Oryzias latipes: one gene and its partners. The protein of the gene in region 2 purifies or fractionates together with the protein of the main gene of each other region. This does not show direct contact. Links are inferred from orthologs where the notes say so. Each region holds a gene or a part of one and is shown on either strand. Other genes may lie near its edges.

What was found. The genes of interacting proteins can lie anywhere in the genome.
Region 1: the proteins of usp15 (region 2) and mothers against decapentaplegic homolog 3 purify together in Homo sapiens (affinity purification with western blotting; 4 studies listed by BioGRID). This does not show direct contact. The link is inferred for Oryzias latipes from reciprocal best matches to the Homo sapiens genes USP15 and SMAD3.
Region 3: the proteins of usp15 (region 2) and rnf40 purify together in Homo sapiens (affinity purification with mass spectrometry; 4 studies listed by BioGRID and IntAct, with this or other methods). This does not show direct contact. The link is inferred for Oryzias latipes from reciprocal best matches to the Homo sapiens genes USP15 and RNF40.
Region 4: the proteins of usp15 (region 2) and prpf3 purify together in Homo sapiens (affinity purification with mass spectrometry; 3 studies listed by BioGRID and IntAct, with this or other methods). This does not show direct contact. The link is inferred for Oryzias latipes from reciprocal best matches to the Homo sapiens genes USP15 and PRPF3.
Region 5: the proteins of usp15 (region 2) and tut1 purify together in Homo sapiens (affinity purification with mass spectrometry; 4 studies listed by BioGRID and IntAct, with this or other methods). This does not show direct contact. The link is inferred for Oryzias latipes from reciprocal best matches to the Homo sapiens genes USP15 and TUT1.

The regions. Positions count from the first base shown.
Region 1 is NC_019861.2:12,626,459-12,628,669, forward strand, and holds part of mothers against decapentaplegic homolog 3, read right to left. Parts: intron 488-2,211; coding exon 364-487; 3' UTR 1-363. UniProt on the Homo sapiens protein: Receptor-regulated SMAD (R-SMAD) that is an intracellular signal transducer and transcriptional modulator activated by TGF-beta (transforming growth factor) and activin type 1 receptor kinases.
Region 2 is NC_019881.2:6,936,941-6,940,440, forward strand, and holds part of usp15 (ubiquitin carboxyl-terminal hydrolase 15), read left to right. Parts: coding exon 1-38; intron 39-283; coding exon 284-399; intron 400-788; coding exon 789-938; intron 939-1,195; coding exon 1,196-1,299; intron 1,300-1,882; coding exon 1,883-1,971; intron 1,972-3,500. UniProt on the Homo sapiens protein: Hydrolase that removes conjugated ubiquitin from target proteins and regulates various pathways such as the TGF-beta receptor signaling, NF-kappa-B and RNF41/NRDP1-PRKN pathways.
Region 3 is NC_019877.2:9,338,498-9,341,997, forward strand, and holds part of rnf40 (E3 ubiquitin-protein ligase BRE1B), read left to right. Parts: intron 1-49; coding exon 50-167; intron 168-254; coding exon 255-404; intron 405-1,738; coding exon 1,739-1,951; intron 1,952-2,043; coding exon 2,044-2,169; intron 2,170-3,051; coding exon 3,052-3,192; intron 3,193-3,312; coding exon 3,313-3,414; intron 3,415-3,500.
Region 4 is NC_019874.2:18,954,479-18,957,819, reverse strand, and holds the end of prpf3 (U4/U6 small nuclear ribonucleoprotein Prp3), read right to left. Parts: intron 2,718-3,341; coding exon 2,574-2,717; intron 2,491-2,573; coding exon 2,391-2,490; intron 2,312-2,390; coding exon 2,198-2,311; intron 2,094-2,197; coding exon 1,975-2,093; intron 1,716-1,974; coding exon 1,638-1,715; intron 1,351-1,637; coding exon 1,298-1,350; intron 1,209-1,297; coding exon 1,059-1,208; 3' UTR 501-1,058; downstream 1-500. UniProt on the Homo sapiens protein: Plays a role in pre-mRNA splicing as component of the U4/U6-U5 tri-snRNP complex that is involved in spliceosome assembly, and as component of the precatalytic spliceosome (spliceosome B complex).
Region 5 is NC_019877.2:4,397,502-4,400,873, forward strand, and holds the end of tut1 (speckle targeted PIP5K1A-regulated poly(A) polymerase), read right to left. Parts: coding exon 3,300-3,372; intron 2,926-3,299; coding exon 2,803-2,925; intron 2,555-2,802; coding exon 2,462-2,554; intron 1,818-2,461; coding exon 703-1,817; 3' UTR 501-702; downstream 1-500. UniProt on the Homo sapiens protein: Poly(A) polymerase that creates the 3'-poly(A) tail of specific pre-mRNAs. Localizes to nuclear speckles together with PIP5K1A and mediates polyadenylation of a select set of mRNAs, such as HMOX1.

The sequences.
Region 1 (2,211 bases), on a different chromosome or scaffold from region 2:
TAATTGAGTGTAAAATGTATCCAACAGCTATAAACAATAAACAAGACATTAAAAAAAAACAGGAAATAAAAAAATAATTCTGCCTTTCTGGCTATCAGATGCCAAAAATGACAATGACCTTCAAAAAAAAAAAGAAAAAAGAAAAAAGACCAATATGCTGAGATCCTCCTAAACTGATACTGCATTAATGCACGTGTCCCCTTTTTGCAACTAGAAAATAAAAAAAGTGCTACTGGCAGCGAGGAGGGACAAACAGTGGCTGGATGAGAGGCGTGTCATCATGTAGTTCTCGGGCTGCTCTTCCTATCTGTGTTTTCAGTTTCGTGAAAGGGGGGGGGGGGGGGGGGGGCAGGGAAGCTCCCCCTAGGAGACACTGGAGCAGTGGATGCTTGGGGAGCCCATCTGTGTCAGCACCTTGTCGAGCCACTGCAGAGGGCCGTTCAGGTGGAGCTCGATCCAGCAGGGGGTGCTGGTCACTGTCTGCCGCCTGGGACGCACACACAGACAACAGATGGTGAGGATGCAGAACCAGCCGCTCTGCCTGTAAGTAAACACATCAAGTCCTGGAAAAACAAACACCTGATCGATTTTAGCCCTGATATTTGGCATATGCAATCAAACTGGATCTATTCTGAGCTGCAGCTGAACTTCCTGCTGTTTAGTAAGACGAGGCTTCGACTTTTCTGTGAATTATGGCAATTATTATTGCACAGCGTCATAAAACTGCTTTAACAAGACGGCAAGGTTTTGTTCTGTCTGGCACTGAATCTGATCATGGAAACAAGATAAGATGTTTTTCACATTCATAGAACACTTAAAACTAGAGTCACTGTCTGAAGCTGTTTTTTATCCCTTTATTTATATAAGAGACACCCATTGAGACGGAACTCTTTTCACCTGGGAGATACCCGGGTCAACCTCTGTTCACGGAACAGCTCCTCTTAAGAGCCTTGCTCAAGGGCATTACAGCAGTGGAGCAAAGGCTTTTTTACTTTACTATGACTTTTTCAAGTCAGAATTGGGACTTGAACCAATGACCAACCAGCCAAGGGTTCATGTCAGTGACCAGTAGGCCAGCCCTCCACACACATCAGCTGGATTTGTAACCCGTGACTGTTGATTTTCTTTCTCCACGTCAAAGCGCGTCTGCAGCCTCTGTCAGGGTTACTTAAACAAGAGTTCAAGAACAGAACGTTTAGCAATTTCTGAGAACTTTCGTTCCAAAATGACCTATTGGCAGACCCACTCTGATGTAAATTGTGTTGTGTTTGTAATCATGGCGAATTAGGAGCAGAAATACAGTTGGCGAAAGCCTGTAGAGGTGACATACAAGCTATAATTAGTGGGCAACAAGCTCCCTGCTCTGCTCCATTCTGATGTATCCACTTGCAGACAAATAGATCCATGAACGTCTTTGTTTTCCTCGTCTGAACTGTTATCTGCTCCAACATTGCTCCCCGTTTTTGTTGCATCTGCAATGTTCGGTTGGGGCTGTAAGCTAGTGGGAGAAAGTGTAATCAGATGGATGACGGGAAATAGGGGCGGGCTTACTTTGCACCAATGGGGTTGCCCTCAATTCAGAGGTAAATTTCTAATGAACTAATGTTTTATTTGTTTTTTTTGACTGAAAATCCTCATTAAAAGAGCAGTGGGGATACTTTTACAATAGATCAAAGAGGATTGGAGTGGGACTTTAAATGAGGCCGTACTTTGACCAATAAGGCAGAAAGACAAAAAATACGATTTGAAGCTTGATCTTGAAGCGTCTTTTGTCAAATGTGCTACATTCAAAGTGGACTGATCTTCATGTCTTTTACATTTTTTGCTGTATAGCTGTTTATATTTGATATGCTTCTTTTTCTAAACTTTCTCCTTCTTGAATCTTTACGATTCTTTTGTTCTCTCTGACCTCAGAATGGACAGGACAGACTGGAGCTGATAACGAGAACAGTGGGATTGAACTTTGATGATTCAGGGTTTGGATCCAGATGTTTCACATTTTTAAGGCAGAAATAAAAAAAATTTGAACAAAGGGATTAAACTGCTGGCTCTGTGTTAAAAGTCTCATCAAGCTAAAGGATGCAGAAGTTTTGGAATCAACTGGACAGCAGCTCACCGGATACAACACAAATGCTTCCCAATGTCGGCTCCTTTAAAGTATTCATTCATGTGAAGCAGTTTTTAAACTGAATGACAAAAACGTGGAGGGAC
Region 2 (3,500 bases):
AAGTGAAGAAGAAATATTTTGATGAAACGATTGTCGAGGTAAACCGACATTTTACTGAATTTTTTTTCTTTTAAAGTTCTTGAGTTTATCACTCAAGAGACACTAGAACTGTTTTTCATTGGCGAGTCTGTTCATTGCATGCTGATAAATTAAATGGATAAAGATGCAGGAAATTAGTAAGGGATTTTCAGAATAAAATACACAAGTGAATTTGCCAAATAATCTTTAAGAAGAACCGTTTTTTGTTTTGTTTTGCTCCGTTTTTGTGTCCACCTGAGAACAGGACTTTGACAAACACGAGAGCATGGAGTACAAGCCTCAGAAGAAAGCTTTCTTCAAGCTGAAAGACTGCATCGACCTGTTCACCACCAAGGAGAAGCTGGGAGCCGACGACCCGTGGTGAGAAAGCAGCTCCACGCCTTCCTGCAGCTCCCTCAGGACAAGCCCAGAGCTCGTGGAACAGTCATGAAACCATCAGGGGGAAATGCTTTGTATTAGTGCAACTGTTAGAAACCCATAAATTAGACCTACATTTGCAGCAGGTTAGGTTAGGATAGAAACGGCAGTAAAATATTAAGGTGCTTGCCATGTTTTTCTTGAGGATCTGCGTACAAAGTGTGTTCCTGACATTTCACATTTAGTTCCCTGCATGATCAGAAATAGAACGGGAAGCCCTCAGCTGGATGCAATTTATAATTGATGTTGCTAAATGTCACTAATTGAACCTGCTTTGGAGCTACTCAGTCATTTAAAAAAAGAAACATGTCTGGCCGCGTCTCTGCTTACAGGTACTGTCCAAACTGCAAACAGCACCAACAGGCTACCAAGAAGCTGGACTTGTGGTCTCTGCCACCAGTGCTGGTGGTCCATCTGAAACGTTTTTCCTACAGTCGCTACATGAGGGACAAACTAGACTCGCTGGTTGACTTCCCACTCAGGTACACACACACGCACATCTTCTCATCTTTATATATTTGTGGGGTCCAAGCATGCATTTGACATCTTCGTTTAGGTGATTTAAATCAAAAAATGTGGTACAATAATAAACAGTTCATTAATATATGTCATACTTTGTTCAAGACCACCTTTTTAGAGATCAACTTGAAGCTTTAAAATTAAAAAAAAACCTGAAAAGAGCTTTTTTTAGTAATGAGGTTAGTTATTGACCTTTAAATTCTCCGTTTTGTGTCTTTAGAGACTTGGACATGTCTGAATTCCTGATCAATCCCAACGCCGGGCCATGCCGCTACGACCTCATCGCTGTCTCCAACCACTACGGAGGGATGGGAGGAGGCCACTGTGAGTTGGTTCTGTTTCCTTTTTTTTTTTGGAAAGGAATGCAACTTTTCTGTCATGTCTCATTCTCTGCAAAGGCTGTTCAAAGATGAACAACACAGTTCACTTGAAAAACTTCCCATCAGCACCTCTGACCAATTGCCTGCCTGTCTTTCCCTCAAGGGATTCTGGGAAGTGAAGTTGTACAACATTATCTGACCATTTTGTTTGGCTGAATGCGTCTTCTGATCGGAAATTCAAACACGGCATTCACACACCGATGCTAACACTGTTATGAATAGAGGCAGAACTCTTTTTTTTCTTCTATTTTTCCTAATTTGAGATGCAGCTTTTGTTGATTAAAATAGCTTCATATTGTTGTTTTTTTACAAAGCTGTCTTCTGTGATGCAGAACAAACTCTAAGCAGGTTTTTATGGCTATGAAAAAAGCAAACTGCATCCACTGCTGCCTGGCGAAATCCACTTTTATTTTAAGAAAATAATGTTGCGTCTCTTTTCAGGGAAAACATCAAGCCATCATTATTTTGCTAACCTGTCAATCAATGAATAAACTCTTTATTGGGCTGCCTTCTCATGTGCCCCACAGACACCGCTTATGCTAAAAACAAAGACGACGGAAAGTGGTACAACTTTGATGACAGCAGCGTGTCCCCTGCTAGTGAAGATCAGATCGTGGTGAGTGTCCTCCTTCAGAAAGTCGTGCGGTGTTTGTTGGTAAGAGGAACTAGATGATTTCATCCGAACCGCACATCGGAACACCTAGTGTTTCCAACTATGACAAACACTGTAGTGTTAACCCTTTAACAGCAGAGCGGTCACGCTCTTTCAACATCTTTGACCAATGACGTCATTAACGTAACTGCAGTGGATTCTGAAGCAGAGAAAAGTAGCTTTGCGCCGATGTGCCATAGATCAGCGGTGACCAACCCCCCGGCCGCGGACCGGTACCGGTCCAAGGGTCATTTGGTACCGGGCCGCAGAGAAAGAATAAAGAACTTGCATTACTTCTGTTTTATTTATTTTGGAATCTGAAAGATGTTTTATTTTGTAAAATTGCCCGATTCTCTGTAACATCCGTCTATGTCAAGACCAAGGCGCTCTTCTCGGTCACGTGATAGGTTACCGCTGAAATATAACCCAGGAGCTAGCTAAATGAGTTAAAAAACAAACGTCTTTGGAAAATTTCTTTGCCAGGGGGGAAAACGCCCAGCCAGGAGACAGAAGAGGAGCCTTCCACTTCCAAAATAAAGAAAGCTACATTTAATATACAGTACGTCTTTTTTGCACCATGAGTGTAGGAAGGGGAGAGGATGATGACACCTGTGCGACGTACAATACCTGTCAAAATAAAAGCTCAGAGTTCGTATTGTAATGTCTCTGTTCCTTCCTCATCGTAGCTTTGCTACAATAATTGTCCGCCACATCTTCAAGACCGGTCCGTGAAAGTTTTGTCTGACGTCATACCGGGCCGTGGCATTACAAATCGTTGCCATACATGACTACGGTAAAGTTTCGCATTTCGGCTCAAAGCTGTTTCTCTCTGCTTCAGAATCCACGGGAATTCCGCTACTTGTGTAAATGGTTGAGGAGACTTGGACATTGACAGAATGTCAACACGGGTGCTAAACGTGGTGTCTCACAGCCACAAAGTACTTTTTTGCCTATGTTGCCTAGATAGAAATGAGTCATACGTGAATATGCGAGGGAAAAAAGTTAGAGAAGTTGTGGTCTTTACATGAAATTTACTACAGATGCATGACGAATGACTCATGTTAAAACCACGGAAGAAATACGACTAAACCACGCAATGATCACGTAAATCAACGAACATGAAGCGTGTTTGATTATTGTGCTGTTTATATTCAATTCATTAGTGATTCGTGTGTCAATTATGAAAGTTTAACATGTGTGCGGCGATTACGTGATATAAAGGTTATAATTCAGTGGTCCGTGCGAGAAAGGTCATAGACATACGTGGAAAAGTGGCAGAAAGTCACAAATTTGCATGTGCATCTCGCAAAAATCGCGCACAATTGCGTAACATTTATCTAATAATTGCGAATAGACGACATAAAATACGCGTAAACGGGGAAACCAAAAATTTAGAAGAGCTCAAATTTGAATTTACGCAAAGCCTGAAAACCCTTGACAAACATCTGGGCACATCAACGAATGACGAACGCCATATATGTATTTTTTCATTA
Region 3 (3,500 bases), on a different chromosome or scaffold from region 2:
AAATTCTTTCTCTCATCTAATGTCGAAATCGAATGTTGAACTTTTTCAGGAAAGCTCAGGAATCCCAGAAGGAGATGAAGCTCCTGCTCGACATGTATAAATCTGCTCCAAAGGAGCAAAGAGACAAAGTGCAGCTGATGGCGGCGGAGCGCAAATCTAAAGCAGAGGTTTTTTTTTTCCTCTTTGTTTACCCTTTCAGTTCATGAATAGATTTAAAAGATGAATGCTTAACCCCTTATCTCAAAAACCTCCAGGTGGAAGACTTCAGGATGCGAGTGCGAGAGCTGGAGGAGAGGGAGAGGAAAGAAAGCAAGAAGCTGGCTGATGAAGATGCCCTCAGGAAGATCCGCGTGGCTGAAGAAACTATTGAGCATCTACAGAAGAAACTTGCTGCAACTAAGCAGGTATTTTTGTCTCTCAATCCCATTCTATCAAACTAGAAAAGTTTTATTTGTACACGTTTCAGCCACAAAAACATCCATATCACAATTCATTATTTTCTACTGTCACATAAAAGTTTGACATTGACGGAAAAACGGAGATCATTGACCGTACAGATGTTGAAGCCTTTGGGACTTCACTGAGATGTATACAAGCTGACAGCTGTTGTGGAGTGAAACTAGTGTGATGATTATCATGTTTGCCTCCTAATGTTAGACTGGAGCTCAATAGGAACTGAAAGCTGCTCTCATTTCTCTGCTCTAATCAGCTGAGTTCACATGAAACCAAACCTTACTGTCCTGCTTTGAAGCAACAAGATTGTTGCTGATAACCTGCAGGTTTTTTGTTTTTGTCTCGTCTTTGTGCTTTTGTTGCATTGTTGGTCAACGGTATTCAAAATCGTTTCAGTAAAGAATTTGCTATAATATATTTAATTACCTCAAAATATTTATTTATCAGTCTTTACTTGCGACAAAACAAAGATTCAAAAATGAAAAGCAACAAATTTCAAAAACTAAAATGTGGATAAATTCTTTTGGATGTGAAAGATTGTTGTGGGTTTTCACCTCGATTCTAAATTGAGGGGAGACTAAATTTTTATGGAAAAGATCATATGAAAACCACAATTTGAAATATATTTAATTATGATTTGCATAGATGGGGGAAAAAACAGTCTTGAGAATCTTTGTTATTTCAGTGTTTGGAGTTTGAGGGGCAAAAATAGATTGGATGGAGTCTGTCGCTCATCATCATCTGAACACTTTTGTATCTCATTTCATGCCATGAAGATATTTTTCTTTTTTATTTCAGTTGAAAGCTTGTAAAGCTGTGTATTAAAAGGTTGAGTTTTACAAATGAACCAAAAACAGTTTTAGTTGCATCAGGGGAAAAAAACTGTGGTTTTTAGATGTGTGGCCATAAATAACGAAGCTTAGTCTGTCAGTCTTGAGGTTCAGGTTGCAGTTCCTCAAATGATCACCAAGAGAAAGTTGCAAAAAGGAGCTACCGGTATATAAATGAGGTCGATCTGTTGCGTGGGTTGTGTGTTTGTGTGCTCTGTCACACGCAAATCACACAATGTTCAGGTGCCACTCTGATATGTGTCTTTATTTCAAAAACCTTACATTAATATGTTGCTTTAATTGAAAGTGTGACAAAGAGCTTGTGTGAAGCCTTTCATCCTCACTCTATGAGTAGTTTTCTTTCTCTTCCTAACATTTTAAACAGCGGTTTTTCAGGTTTATTGCTTCGGTCTCTACATATTTTCCCCTAAATCGGCTCTTGCTTTTGGTTTCAGGAGGAGGAGGCTTTGCTCAGTGAGATGGATGTAACTGGACAGGCCTTTGAGGACATGCAGGAGCAGAACAGCCGGCTGCTGCAGCAGCTACGGGAGAAGGACGATGCCAACTTCAAGCTGATGAGTGAGCGGATCAAATCCAATCAGATCTACAAACTGCTGAAGGAGGAGAAGGAGGAACTGGCTGACCAAGTTCTCACCTTCAAAACCCAGGTGGGACGTGACTCCCCCCTAAACCTGAAACTGACAGGTTTCGTACTCGAAAGCAGGAAAAACACCAATTTGCTACTTTTGCTCTCCTGCAGGTGGACGCCCAGCTGCTGGTTGTGCAGAAGCTGGAAGAAAAAGAGGGAGTCCTGCAGAGCACACTGGCTGCTTTGGAGAAGGAGCTTGGTGTCAGAACACAAGCGCTTGAGCTCAACAAGAGGAAGGTGAGAAGAGATGTCAGCCGGTTCCCCTTCACCCTTTTACAGCGGAGCTTTAGCTCCAGGGTTTTCATTCTTTCAACTACTGCAACTTTTCAAACATGTACAGCGTTGACGTCATTTCAGCAGATTCTGACGTTTTCAGCTTTACGCTGATGTTGCAACACTTTGCTTTAGTCGAAGAGTTGCGGTATGTCAAAGAGTGTGTGTTATTTAGGTGACGCCAGTGACACCTCCGGTGATAAAGGGTCAAAGAACAAATGATGTGCATAAAGTAATCACCAAATAAAATAAAATATAAAAGCCCCCCCCCCTATCTGATGTATTTGCATGGTGCTGTTAAAAATACACCTACTGATGAAAAAGCGAGAAGTGGGACCCTGCTCTTTGTTTTTTTACATAACATTTGCTGTGATTCAGCCATGACTTTGTTGTCACTTTTCAAATCTCGGTTGGCCAAAATCCCAACCCATTTATAGATGAATAATTCATGGTTTGATCACGTTGGTTAAGCCTGTGCCAGTAGGGAAAAATGCAGAAGGTGTCAATCAAGCTGTCGGCTGACTTTGCTTGCATTACACTTCATTTACAAAGGGAGCCTCTTACCTGTTTATTCATTTTAATGAGAACATTTTCTGGTTAAGTTAAGCTCAGAACAGGGTAAACTAGTTGTATCCTCTGGCTGTCTGCCTTAATCACCGAAATCAAACCAAAATCTTGAATTGCAAATCATTCTTTGAAATCTATTGTTAACAGGAAAAATGAAAACAAAAAGATTAGCCTCATTTGCCACTTTAGCCATGCTGACTCAACCTCCCCTCTGCCACTCAGGAATCCAATTTAGCTGCTGTTTTCACTGAGTGTTCCTGCTTCCTTCCCCTGCTGCAGGCGGTGGAGGCCGCTCAGCTGGCAGAAGATTTGAAAGTGCAGCTGGAGCACACTCAGGCCAAGCTGAAGGAGATTCAGGTCTCTGTGGCGGAGAACCGCACCGCCCGCGAAAGAGAGAGCAGCAACCTTAAGCGGGCGCAGGTACGCCAATTCCCAAGCGCATCATGTCGATGAAAATCTGCTCAAGTGCCTCCTGAGTTTCTGGGTTTGGGTTCATGTGAAGCATTAAGCTCTGAAAACCGTGTCCTCTCACCCCTGTAGGAAGATCTATCCAGACTAAGACGGAAGCTTGAGAAGCAGAAGAAGGTGGAGGTATACTCTGATGCAGATGAGATCCTACAGGAGGAGATCAATCAGTACAAGGTACAGTTTCCAGTTGACTTTAAACCCACGGCTGGAAATGGGAGCGCAAAAGTACCAGCTGCACAGCACATTGAGACTAATTAAAT
Region 4 (3,341 bases), on a different chromosome or scaffold from region 2:
TGCATTTGACTCAGCTTAAATATGCTGGCTACAGGCTAGCAGTTAGCTTCAGCGAGAAACTACTCACATTTCTTTAGCCACTTCATCCAATAGCGAACAATAAGGCTGTAATGTTTCTTGTTTTCAATGCACCAGCTTGAGAGTCCTTGTATCGACTCCATGGTGTTAGACACTGCCTGAAACCGGCGGTCCAACGACGCTTCCAATGCAGCGGTGGAGCTGCGAGCTCCCTGGCCGCTCGCAGCCTCGGAACCGGCCGCCATATTTCAAGCTCTATCAACTAATGATAGGGACGAGGGCGAAGGCGTGATGGAAGACAAGGCAACGCAGGGGAGACCACGCCCCCCGCGAGTCATTACATATGTATTAACTTCATGCCATAAAAATACCAACCTACACACCAATATTTTAACTCGGTATTTTTTTTTTTTATTTGGGCTAAAAACTTATGAAATGACCCAGGCAATTGAAGCGGTTAGCAAACAAAATCAAAGATGAAGTCTTTTTTTCACATTTTTTAATTAAGGCAGTTTTAAATGTTACAAGGAAACATGGCTAACCTCTGTGGATAGGGGGTCAACACACTGATGGGTCAAAAAATAAATGATGCGGTAACTGTGTGAAAGGTGTCTAAAAGCAAGGTTTCAAAAAATAAACTTCAAAAAGTAAAAGGTCAACTTAGTGATAGTGTGTTGTCATTAGGACATTCTTCCTAATCAACAAAGACAATATGATTTAAGTTGAGGATTTTATAGCAGAAAATGAGCCGAAACAGACTGATTTAGGTCGGAATCAGTCGGTCTAAACAGGACAGACTTGCATCCAATGAAATCAACTAAATGCAAAACTACATATACTGCCTTGTATACACAGGAGCTCACTTTTTCTTAGAAAAACAGGTTTAATGTGCCCCGTATTTTCTGTTGAAGTCTCTTTATTGAGTCTTTGTTCCTTCCTCCTCAGCAGCCAATAGATAATTCTGGCTATTGTGAGGCAGCAGGTCTGCAGGTTTGACTGTAGCAGTCCTTATTTGAAACAGATCTCTCCCCTCGAAGGTTTCAATCATCGGTGCCGTCCAACACACTATGGCTGAGGGCAAGGTCCCAGTAATGTTCTGTTCCGTGCTTCTTGAAGTGTTCTCGGGCCATGCTCTCTGTGGGACACTGCTTGAACTTGATCTCTCCATAACTTCGATCTTTACCTGTTCCCTAAGGAAGCAGAAGGAACCATTAGACTTGGATGGACTAAAGAAGTTCTAAATGTGCAATGGAAACAGAATAAATGCATGTTCACTCACCTCCCAAATCAACCAACACTTGTTGTTTCTCTTTGTGTCATCAACATCTGGATCTAAGATTTGAAAAATGTGAGCATATTTTATTTGAAGCAAACACTGAGCCAACAATAGTACGGTATGTAGAAATAGCTTGTGTCCTGATAATTGACATAAACCACTTTTGAACCGTTATCAGTGGTTGGTGAAAACTAAAAGCTACAAAAGATAATTACCCATAGCTGTATAAATAAACTGCAAATCTCAGACACATAATTTCTTAAACTTGCGATTATTATTTTTTATAATTTGCAATCAATTAAGACGTTTTTCCATAGCAGCAATACAAAAGCAGTAATCTTACCATCTCTTTTGCTACTGTGTTCTTCCCACTTGATTCTATGCAGCATCAACTTCCTGAATTTTTTCTGGGATTTAGGGCCTTCAAGGGAAAGAGACAATTGATTCTTTATTACATTTCATATATGAATTTGCTGGCATTTTCTCTTCCCAGTTCAGATCAAGTGAGGTTCAATTGAAAAAAAAAATCAGTATTTTCTCTCTATAATGAAATCTTCTAAACAGTAAATGAAAGGCTATATAAACAGTAATAATTGAAACATGTCAATAAATGTGTTATTAAGTTTCAGCAGATCAATATAAAAGGACATCAATATAATTTAAACAGATTTCTTCCTTACCTCCCTCTACAACAACAAGATTAACATCTCTGTGCAGAACTACTGTTCCAGTCAGGTACAGCTGGTTTGCATTGGCCTCCACCTTAAACTTCTTTGCAGGATTTGTCAGGTTACGGATTCTGTAAGATACAACATTTATATTGGTTTTCAAGGTGTAAAAAGAGCTTTGAAAACAGATATTTAAAAATATATATATTTGCTGTTCCCGTCCTCAAATGCATACCTGTACACTGAAATGTGAACTCCGTTAGTGAGGTCTTCTTTCAACTTCTTGACCTTCTTCTCTTTTCTTTGCTCTGTTGAAAGCTTTCGAGCTGCATTGGCTTCCTCATGAGCTCTGAAAAAGTGTCGCTGTTAGAAAAACACTTAAGAAAAATGTGAGTCTCTGTGGATTCTCACGGTAACAAAACACCTACTTTTGTCTTTTTGCCATCTGTGCTCTCACATGGGCCTCTACTTTAGTGGGGTCCTGGACCGCCTCCGTCCCCAAGACTCTCATCAAGTTGGAGATACGAACTTAAAAGTACAAAAAAAATCATCATGTACCATTACTTGACCTGATTACAGGCATAGAACAATGTTCACTTGTGTGCAAGTACCTTTAGGTTCCGGTGGTGGCATCAATCCAAGACGGACCTTTTCCTGCAATTCTTTTTGTGCCTCCCTCCGCGTTTGTCTCCTTAGTTTCTTCTGTTCTTTCTTTGTCAAATACACACCCAGGGTTACTGGTTTATCAGTGTCCACTGGGAAAAGAAGAACAGTTGTAAAGAATATAACTAATATTAATGGAATGAATGTAATCAGAGCTTTTTCTGTCAAACATGTCAAATAAAACATTTTATTCTAGAACCTTGAAAGAAGCTAGAAGCATTAAAAAAATTACACAGAAAAACAAATGTGTGTACTTTTAACTTAGAGATGGCAAATTTTTTGCTCTGCATTTACTATAATAAATAAATGTTTGTTTCCTCAGGAACATTCCTTGATACAAAGTTTGCCATTTCAAGACAAAAAAAAAGTTCCTCCACACAATAATAAAAAAAATTCATTAAAGACACTGAGGCAGAAAAATGGTAATTGGAATGGTTCTTCAAAACAGTCTGAGACTTTAAAGTTTACAGATAAAGAGAAAAAATACTTAGACAAAAATCCCTTACAAATGTCTTTAGAGACCAGTTTTGACCACAGGAAGAGTTTAGATATTGTACAGTCAAAACTGGGATTAAGTCTGGCAAGGGGTGCCTAACAGGATGTTAGCTGAGGACATGTTACAGTGGATTTCATCAGATATAGCTACAATTTTCTAATTTAGTGGTTAACAAATCACTTTTCAAAAGTTTATTGGACTAGGATACTTACTTTACGGT
Region 5 (3,372 bases), on a different chromosome or scaffold from region 2:
ATACTCATAAAGATATTAGTTTCAAGTTTTTGGCAATACTTTGTGTAACCAGATGCTTCAATATTTAGTAAAAAGTTTGTTTTTAATATTTAAAGAGTTTTTTAAATGTCCATCATAAGAGGCAGTTGATATTAGATGTATAGAAAAACTAAAGATGCAAGTACTGACATCTGAGTAGGTTTCGTTGCTGTCGAATATTGGTATCGAAGGACAACCAAAAATTGGGGAGGACAACCAAATATTACTTGCCTGGTTGTCTGGAGGACAACCATTTTTTCCCCCTGATTTCTAACGCTGCATCTGATCCTCAATGATTCAATGATTTGAATTAGAATTTGAATTAGGAAAAACTAAGAAAGAATTTGAATTAGGAAAAACTAAGAAATGCCATTTTAATCCCAATTTTCCTAATATATGTCCTCCATCATGAGAGAAATGCGTGTGGGGGTCTTTCAGTAAAATGTGTTGATGTGGTGCTCGAGTAAATGAATGTTCCCGACTCTCCTTCAGCCAAAAAATGTTTTTTATTTTCAAAGTTTCAGCCTTTTTGAGCCGTTCTGAACAGAAACGTTAAACAATAATTCCCTTTTTATTACAAAAATACAGTATAAATGAAAACAGTAACACTGTGACGTCAAACCAACATTCAAACTAAAGTAAATCTCTGATTTCTGCTGAGGAACATCTGTGTTGTGGCTCAGTTTAGTCACAAGTCATCTGGTTCTGCGCTTCTTTTTCCAGCAACGTGTCGACCATCTTGGGTACAAAAACCTCCAGAAAGTGAAAAAAGTCGTGGAAAGCTCCCGGTTTGTCGCTGCTAGGCTGCAGCCGGAGCACCGCCTTTGTGCTCTCTGTCCCCCCCACCACCTGGGGCTGAACTCTGAACTCCAGGGCTTCCTTGAGTTGGGCTTCTTTCTCCTGGATGTGGGCTGTGACCTTGGACTCCAGCTCTGCACAGCTGCCCTCGGCCCCGGAGTCCGGGCCCTTCAGGATTTCCCGCTTCACTTTCCTCCTGCCGGCCCACACCGGATACTTCTGCGTACAGATCCACGGGGGCGCATCCGGCTTTCCTCTTTTCATCAGCCTGGCTTTTTTGCCTTGGGGCGAAACTGAGGTGTCGCTGCCTGAAGAGAGCAACCTCTTTGCTCCGACCACCACCGCGTCCTGAGGACTTTGTTCCGTCTGAGGTGGAACGCCATCAAAACTGTCATTTCCTGAGGAGTTCATGGAAGCTGGCGGGCCTTCTGCTGCCTCCTCTCCTGCTGCAGCGTCAGAGGACACCGTGAGGTGACACTGGAGAACGGCTCTGAACACCTGTTCCACAGCAGAGAGAACCTTCTGGAACCACAGACGGCGAAAATCCTCTCCCGCCGTGTGCAGCTCGCTGCGCATCGCCTCAGGGAGCGACGTTGATTTAAAAGGGATGCTGATGCTCAGCTGCTCTGCTTTGTTGAGCGAGACTTCCCCATGAGGGGTAAACAAGCGCACCAGCCCCCATGACTTGCCCTTGGCGGACTTGTGCTGGTACTGCAGGCTGCGGCAGTACTTCTCCGCCTCCTGGCATTCCCTCTGGAAGTTGTGGTGGGAGCGCTCGTTCAGGTTTCCGGCTACGTTGTGGGAGAGCTCAAAAGGATCCAGGAGAGTCATGGAGCCCAATTTGGGGTGTTGGCGACTGCCTTTGGGGGGGTTTTCCTCCTCTTCTTTGCCTTTGCCAAGAAAATCTACAACAGGAAGTGCGCGCCCCTCCCTTAAGGATACGACATTGCTGGCAAAATCAAACTTTGCATAGAAGGAGAAGAAACCAGCCAGCAAGGAGGCTGCAGGAGGAAGACAGAAAGTCACATTTAGACCCCATAAAGCAGAAATCCCCCACCGCTTGAACGCCACACAATATTTTCACAGACTGTTCTGTACGAGGCTGAAGTCGAAGACTCTAATTTCCCTTCATTTTGTGAGAAAGGTTCATCCTCTGTAAAATACCTGCAGCTGTTTTAAATTAAGATTTCATGTAGAGACCCTTAACATGGGACACAGATTTTCTTTTAACCCAGAACTATCAAAGTGGAAGCATAAAAAATAAGACGCCAACTTCAGCCTCGTCCGACTTCAACTTCCGACGGAAAATTAAAATTTAAACAACTTTATTAGCAGCATCCTCTTAACATTAGACAGCCGGTTGTTGGATTTTCTGCATCATTATTATGGTGTGTGGGAACAAATGTCACAATAAATCCATATTTGGAGCTAAGACTCCTGGTATTTGTCTGTTGAATGCAGATATTTTCAAAAGCTCCTCTTCTGTTTCCTCACTGACTCTTTTCCATTAGTTTTCAAAATAAAACCTCCTTCAGAATCAGATTATAAATAAAACGGAACCCTAACGCGGTACCAACTGTCCCAGGGACCGGGGGTGGGGGACCGGTGCCGTAAAGGACATTTCTGTCTGATTAAAGTCACTTACAGAGGTCCTGTGTGTTCTTGCTGGGAAGCACAGCAATGGGTTGACTGGGGAAGGTGCAGTTCCAGCCTTCAATCACACACTCCTCTTCCTCACCTGCACAGAGAAAAACCAAAACAATAAAGTTAATTTATTTTATTTTTTTAAATGTGCAAGAATATTTTTTGCGGCACCTAAACAAACAAAACCCTAGAAGAGGAAAATGTATTCAAACATCCCAACTCAAGCTTTTTCCCTTTTATCCTTTCAGCCTATAGAGCAGCGGTCACTTCCTGTTCATAGCTGCAGGTCATCAGAAAATGGAGAAAATGCTTAAAAACGCATCAGAGGAAGGCAGCACTTACAGGCCATGTCTTTCAGCTGCTCCACTGTGGGGAGAACAGGAGGCTCGCAGTTCTGCAGGTAAAAAATGACCAGCAGGGTCAGAGCGTAGTTGTTGAGGAGGGGGCCGGCGCCGCTGGGGTTACCTGCAGGTCAAAACAGGAAACTGTAATCCAAAAAGTCAATAAAACTATTCAGTCTATCTGCTGCTTTGTCTCCTGTTTAGATTGACTCTGTGCTCAAAAATACAATAAAGTTTATATATTTTACTATGTTTCTCCAAGATGACATGTTTGACATGATACAAAATACATTTTGAGTCAAACATTTACTTCAAAATAAAAGTCTAGTTGTGTTTAGAGAAGCACGGTGCAGCTCCAGTGACACCTGTTGGTCAAAGAATGAAATAGCAGCCAATTCAAACCAAGAACTATTTTCCACACTGTTCTTATCGCACAAAAACAAAATGGTTATGAGCTTACAAAAACCCCAAAAGGTTCTTAAAATAAGAGCACGTTACCAGCCAGCTTCTTCTGCCTGGCCCAGAATCGGATGGTGTACACCAGAGGCCTCAGGCGCTCCTCCATCCCAGA